Linked DNA regions of Stegostoma tigrinum. The protein of the gene in region 2 purifies or fractionates together with the protein of the main gene of each other region. This does not show direct contact. Links are inferred from orthologs where the notes say so. Each region holds a gene or a part of one and is shown on either strand. Other genes may lie near its edges.

Region 1 (3,754 bases), on a different chromosome or scaffold from region 2:
GTATTACTCTGTGACTCCAAGACTAAATGATTACCAGGAAGGCAGGCGAAATGCTTAAAGGATGTCCTCAAATTATCCCTGAAAAACTGTGACATCCCCACTGATACTTGGGAATCTCTCTCCCATAATCACACGAAGAGAAGAAACACCCATGAAGGTGTCATTCTGTTTGAATTTCCTTTGAACAGAGGATACAGCATGCAGAAATTTCAACATACCAAACAGCCTATCCTCAAATACCACCTGCCTATCCGTGGCAGGCTGTATGGACCTAGCAGCAAACTGTTTAGTGGCCTCAAGATCCCCAGCTTCATAGTGGAAGACAGTCATCCTCAGTCTCCAGGGACTGCCTAAGGGGAGATGCAGAGTCACAACAGTAATCTAATTCTTGTTCTTCTTAAAATCAAACTGTTTAACAACAACTTACTACATGGAGAGGTTTTTGTTAGTTATTAATAAAAAAAATTATAGTAATAATTTCTATATAGGAATAAATCTAGCTTTCATGTATCATTAATATGTTTAATCAAATGTACTTATTTCTATTATTATCAGCTGCAACAACAACTTGTATCTATACAGCACCTTTAAAAATGTCACAGGCGGATTTAAAGTAAAATTGGACATCCTACCGAATTTTCTATAATTCCACACGATATTAGGGCATGTCGTCAGAGGTCAGAAATCACACGACACTAGGTTACAGTCCAACAGGTTTATTTGAAATGGGAATTAGCAATTTAATACTTTCGTGTACATGGATATTTTTGGATTGGCCGATGGTAAACTCAATGATAAACACAAAGTGGAAGTTGCTGAGCCACACGTCAAATTAAGATGGAGGTTGTGAATAAGGTCTATCAACTACAACGGGCAGCTATTCAATTCCAGGTTGAATGTGTGGAAGCACTTCCGGGTGGTTGCTGGGCCAGAGACGGTGGGATCATGGCTGCTGACGGGTTGCAGGAGCAGGTTTTAAAGCTGCAGACTCGCTTGTCAGAGACTCAGGAACCGAAGAAGGTAAAGAATCGCCAGTTACAGGATTTCTAAACTATCTCAGAGATTCACGGTGGAGGCACAACTCGAGAAACAGAGTAACGAATCTTACCACGAAGACATTTGACTAAACACCTGGAAAGCCAATGCTTGACCCATTGAATAACACACAGTGCGAGCGTTGGGGAATCCGGGGTCAGGCCATTGCCTGGATGTTTATCTTTTATCTGAGGTGTTAATCAACTTGTTTTAATAAATTTATGTCTTTAATTTCTATCCGTAGAAAGCAAAAATACGCCCGTGTCTTCACTCTGTTGTGAGTGAAAGTGATGACATTGCATTCTTTAGAAGTCCCGATTTATCTGAATTAAATAGAACTGCTCAGTACATTTAAGAGAACAGAAATGTTTTGCTGCCACGCTGACTTTAAATGTAATACTTGTAATTTTTTTATTTTACAAACCATCAGGAACACTTTTTCGTGAGGTTAATTCAAAGTTATTTTTAAATATTGGTAATGAATAATTAAGTGATGGGCAATGGATAGAGTAAATGTATGAAATGGCGTTAGCAGATAATTTTGATATCCCTCTGCAATTAGTGATCTCAAGAATGTAAGTTATGTATAAGGGAAGTAGTGCGGACAAGTAGTACTTACTTCTGGTGTGGAATTTTCTCTTTTAAGAATGTTGATTGCTTAGTTGAATTCTGATGATTTTTTAAAAAAAAATTTGAATTATTGGATGTTATATCGGTTTTCCAGTTTGTTCGGTGTTTGGTGTTGGGTGCTGAGCAGCAGGCTCTCTGGCCTTGCCTCTCATGTAAATATGAGGTTCATTGAAAAATCTGCTGATGTCGTAACTTGTACCACTTGTATTCAGTTGTCACCTCTTGGCTTGCTAACCAGCTTCTGGTTAAGCAATACCTTAATTTTCAAAATTTCATCGTTGTTTTCAAATCCTTCAGTAGCCGAGACTCTCCCTTTGATACAATGTAATCCAGCTCCACAATCCTCTGGGAAATTTCACGTTTCTTTAATTCATGCCTCTTGAGCCATGCTTTTAGCTGCAAGACATTTAACTTGGGAATTCCTTTCCTAAAACCCTCTGATTTTAATCCATCTGTCTTTGTTTAAGATGCCTTTAAACCAGAGTTCATTGACCAAACATTTGACATTTGTCCCAATTTTTTTTGGTGTAGCTTGGTGTCCTTTTTTTTAAAACACCAAAATACCTCGAAAGTGCCTTAATGTTTTGTTATGTTAAAGGTTCTATATAAATGCAAATTGGCTTTGTAAAGGGCAATTATTTCCAGCTTTCTCTAATCAAAGGACAATGTGATGTTATAACAACAGCTTGCCACAGTTGGATCTCTCTAAGATGTGGCAGAATGGGAAGCTTCTGTATAAAGGTAAAAGTTTTAACTCTTAAAATCTGTGCTGTTGCAACTGGATTTCAATTTGCCTTTATTTTGGAGTTTCTGGTTGGTTCTCTGCTTATTTCTGTGGTTTCTGTTTGTCAGAAATTGCAGATTAGACCCGCCACCCCTTTGAAGTTGATTTCTTTGATTCAAGTCTGGCCTATCTAGATGTAGTACGCTTATAGCTGTATGTTCTAATTTACAACCAGATTGCATCCTGATGCAGATTGGCGTTAGAAACCATACAATGCTACAATATGTTGTAAATAGGGGATAAAAATCGATTTAATCCTAAACTAAATTTAATCTGCCATTGAAAGGGTAATGTTTTAATCGACTGTATGGATGCTTCTGCTCAGTCCTAGTCCGAATCCTCACTCCTCAGCAGGACAGCTGGCAATGTGGGAGCCAAAGTGTATTGTAACAATTTCAAATATGTCTGCATCTATGCTTAAAATAATATAGCCATTTTGGGGATGTACCAGTAGTCCCTAATGGACATTGAATCATTACAGTTTCAACAAGAAAATTCAATGGTCACTTAAGTGGTTCTATGTGCCCTGGGGGTAATCTTGTAATTTCAATATATCTCTGATTTGTGAGGTCATTTTGATTACTATAGCAGACCCTTTGGTCGATCTCGTCCATGCTAACCAGATATCCTAAATAAATCCAGTCCCATTTACCGGCATTTGGCCCAAGCCCGCTAAACCTTTTCTATTCATATACCTATCTAGATGCCTTTTTGAGAGTTTTGCAAAGCTAGTATTGGTAGTCGTCCTGTAGTTGTAGTGATAAAATAGTGGTGGACTTCCATTCAGCTGTTAAACTGCTAAAGAAGACTTATTAGGCTGCTTCAAAAAACATTTAATATTCTTACATTTCTGTGCGACTGGAATTGCAAATGGGCTGGCCTAGTCAAGGGCAGTAGAATTATCTCTTTCAAAGAATATCAATGATCAGTTAGATATTTTATGGTGATCTGACCACTTTGAATTTTAATACAGTATGTTGTTTCACTGATTTCAGACTTTTAAAATTGAATTATTTGTGAACTTGCATTGTAAGGATTAATAATCCAGTGTTATAAACATTACACCAGGTAACCTATGATGAATATTGTAGGTTTTACTTCCAAACTTAGTGTGTAGCCTTGGCTCAGCTAGAATGGAGACTAAATGTTTTCCACGAGAGTGGGCAGTTATTTAATTTGGGACTGATGAACATCGTAACCAGATCCTGGAGTAGAAGAAATGGGTGTATTTGTAAATTCCTTGTAACATGAAAATATTTTAACTCATTGTTCTGATACTGACTTTAACTTCTCACTACAAAGTAG
Region 2 (3,754 bases):
TCAATAGAAAGAGAAACAGTTAACATTTCTGGCCTCTGGCTTTTCATCACACCCTGATTTAAAACTTTAACTTCCTTTCTATATATCTCCAAAGATGCTGTTGGATGCTACCAGCATTTTTGGTTTTTATTGCAGATTTCTATCCACAGTATTTTTCTCTACAATTTTGTTTAGAAACCTAAGCATTGTCAGATAAAATAATATTCTTTCTATTAGAGATCTGTGACCTGTTATAGATCAAACAACTCACTGATGAGGCTGAGAAACCAACTGTCAATTGAAAGATGAGATTGTTTGGCCGCCAAGTTTTCTTTTCTTTTGCTGGGAAATCTACATTTTGGGGTTGGTGTCACTGACTTCTGCTTCTGGGAGTCACTGCCACGCATGGACCTCAGGTGCCTATGCAGCTAGGAAGAAAATTAGAAGGAATACTGCTCAGAGGGTTGTGAATCTTTTGGAATTTCTAAATCACAGAGCTGTGGGTACTCTATTATTGAGTCTATTCAGACAGTGGTTGGTACATTTTTGTATATAAGGGAATATAGTGTAGGAAGTTGAGGCATATTAGCCTGACTGTACTGAAAGTTTGAATAAATCATGGAAATCCTACTTAACTTCTTGCTTGTTACTTTCTCAGAAAACTGCAATGTGAGTAAAGTGAAACTCATGAATATACTTGCATATCAAAAGGCACTGAACAAGATGTCACATTAAAGGTTACTAAGCAACATAACAGCTCGTGCTGTAGGAATAGCATAATAGGATAGAGAATTGGTTACCTAACAGGAAACAAAGTTAGCATAAATAGGTCACTGTAGGTTTGCAAGACACAAAAATGTAATATCACATGAATCAACCACTCACAATTTATATAAATGTCTTGGATGAAGGAGTCAAATGTATGGTTGCTAACTTTATCTATGACATGAAGTAGGAAAGTAAGTTTTGAACAGGACATAATGGATCTGCTAAGGAATACAAACAGGCTAAGTGAATGGACAAAACTTTGGCAGATGGAGTATAGAATTTTAAAAATGCAGACCTTTCTACTTTGTCAGGAAGAACAGAAAGGCAGCATATTACTTAAATTGAAAAAGGTTGTAAAATCCCGAAGCACAGAGGGAATGGAATATCTTGGGACATAAATCACAAAGTTACTATATTGGAATAATAAGTGATTAGGGAATATAAAAGTAGGAATGTTTGCTACAGTTGTACAGACCATTGGAGGGGCCATATCAGACTACTGTTTAGTTGTGATTTCCTTACTAAAGAAGGGATATAAACATATTAGAAGCAGTTCAGAGAATGCTCACTTAAATCCCATCCCAGGTATTAGTTATCTAATGAAGAAAGGTTAAGACGGGTTGACCCAGTATCCAATGAAGTTTAGAAGAAAAACAGGTGATTGCATTGAGACATAAAATCCTGAAAGCACTTGACAGGATAAATACTGAAAATATGTTCTTTCCTGAAGGAGATACTAGAACTAAGGGTGATAAATAAAAGATCTTCCATTTAAGATGGAGATGAAAATACCTTTTTCTCTCAGTAGATCTTAAATCTTTGGAACTATCTTCCCCAGTGAGCTATTAAAATGGAGTAACTGAGTATTTTTAAGGCAGAGATAGATAGCATCTTAATCAACAAGGGAGCCAAACATTATCAGGCATGGGTGCAAATGTGGACTTTTCAGATACAATCGGGTCAGCCATGATCTTGCTGAATGGTAAAGCAGGCTGAAGGGGTGAGGTGGCCTGCACCTGCTGTAAGTTGGTCTGTTGACAGAAGTTTGAAAACACAATGATCAACTGCAGCTTTCTACACCAAATCAGTTCATTTTTAAGAGTTTGTCTCAAGGCTTATAAACTGGTAGGGTGGACATCACTGTAATAGGTTTGAGCACGGACAGCAGTTTTGAATGAGCCAAAGTTCACGAAGATGAAGTAGTTGATCACGGAGACAACAAAAACAAGAGAAACACGTTGTCTTGATGTGGAGACAATAAGGACTACAGGTGCCGGAAGCCAGAGTCTACAGGCAGGAGGCAAGAAAAGCTCAGCGGGTCAGGCGGCATCCGAGTTGCAGAAAAGCCAACGTTTCAGGCTGAAACCCTTAATTATCTTTCAGAACCGGAGGACATCCCAAAGCTCTTACAGCAATGAACAGTTATTACTAAGAATTTATTATTAGGAAACGTGTCAGGGACTCGGTAGGCAGTCAAAGATCCCACTGCCAAGTAACGCACAGCAAGATCCAATAGCAAACTAGTACACAGTGAAGATCCCTCAACCAAAGGACGCACTGCAAGGAGATAGCAAGAACTGCAGATACTGGAGACAGAGTCAATACGGTGGGGAGCTGGATAAACACAGCAGGTCGGGCAGCAGCAGAGGAGCAGGAAAGTCGACATTTCAGGTCGGGATCCTTCTTCAGAAATGGGGCAATCCCAGTCCTGTTGAAGGGTCCAGCCTCGTAACATCGACTCGCCTGCTCCTCATACGCACAGCAAGATCCCGCAACCGAGATTAGTCAAACAATTTGACACCGACAATGTTATAAATTGTTCTTACTGATGCTAACTGAGAACACAACTAATGCCAGGTCCCCGGATCCCTCACCGCTCCTCTTCCACCAGAGACCCCGACACCTCTCACAGTCCCCACGGCCACAGCAGGCGAGGCCTCGGGGAAAAGCCTCGGCCGGCAGACGGTAAGACAGTGCCCCACTCCCGAGCTTGGCCCGGCCCCGCGGTAATTTCCTTCCCCCTCCCGGGCTCCGGAGCCCCTGGCCGTCCGCTGCCGACCTCTCACCTCGTCCGTGTCCCGGAGCGGGATCTCGATGGACCCGCGCGACAACATCGCGGCCTGCCTGGCTCCAGAGTCTGCTTCCGGGGCAGGGCGCGGGGACCGGAAACCGCTGTGTTGGTGGGTGGAGTAACGGTCGGGCGGGGTTGACATCACGTGAGAGAGTTCTAGTGGGAGGTTGTGCCTTGTAGGTGTGTGAAAGAGAAAACCGTACGTAAGATAAAAATAATTGTTTGCACTCAGTAGAAGTTGAAGTTGACAATTACAGCACCCTGAACTTCCTCTAAACTTCAGTAACGTCACATCTTGGTCTCAGCTCTACTTTCCTGCTTGTGACCTATAAATTTTATAAACAAGATGAGACCATTCAGCCCCTTGAGAATGCTTTCCTTCACTATCAGACCAATGAGTGTAGGAGTTGGGATGTCATGTTATGGTTGTACAGGACGTTGGTGAGGCCACTTTTCAAGTACTGTGTACAATTCTGGTCACCCTGTCGCAGGAAGGATATCATCAAATTGGAGCAGGTGCAGAAAAGATTTACAAGGACACTACTGGGACAGGAGGGTATCACTTATAAAGAGAGGCTGGAACTGGTCTGACCAGAGCATTAGAAATTGAAGGGTGACCTTGTAGAGGTTTATAAAATAATGAGTGGTATAGATCAGGTGACTAGCAAAGGTCTTTACTCTAGAATGGGGGACTTCAAAACTAGAGGGCATAACTGTAAGGTAAAAAGAGAAAGGTTTAAAAGGGTCCTGAGGGGCAACTTCTTCACACATTGGGTGTTATGTGGAGTGAACTGCCGAAGAAAGTGGTAGACGTCGCTGTCTCAGTCTCTCAAATTGGAGGCTCAGGCAGTGTCATTAGCAAAACAGGTAACAGAATGACATTTCATCATCATAGAATCCAAACAGTATGGAAATAGCTCCTTTGGCCCAACAAGT

What was found.
Region 1: the proteins of ctr9 (region 2) and eloa purify together in Homo sapiens (affinity purification with mass spectrometry; 4 studies listed by BioGRID and IntAct, with this or other methods). This does not show direct contact. The link is inferred for Stegostoma tigrinum from reciprocal best matches to the Homo sapiens genes CTR9 and ELOA.

Annotation. Positions count from the first base shown.
Region 1 is NC_081377.1:20,889,767-20,893,520, reverse strand, and holds the start of eloa (elongin-A), read left to right. Parts: upstream 1-927; 5' UTR 928-945; coding exon 946-1,020; intron 1,021-3,754. UniProt on the Homo sapiens protein: SIII, also known as elongin, is a general transcription elongation factor that increases the RNA polymerase II transcription elongation past template-encoded arresting sites.
Region 2 is NC_081370.1:36,439,029-36,442,782, reverse strand, and holds the start of ctr9 (RNA polymerase-associated protein CTR9 homolog), read right to left. Parts: upstream 2,924-3,754; 5' UTR 2,862-2,923; coding exon 2,814-2,861; intron 1-2,813. UniProt on the Homo sapiens protein: Component of the PAF1 complex (PAF1C) which has multiple functions during transcription by RNA polymerase II and is implicated in regulation of development and maintenance of embryonic stem cell pluripotency.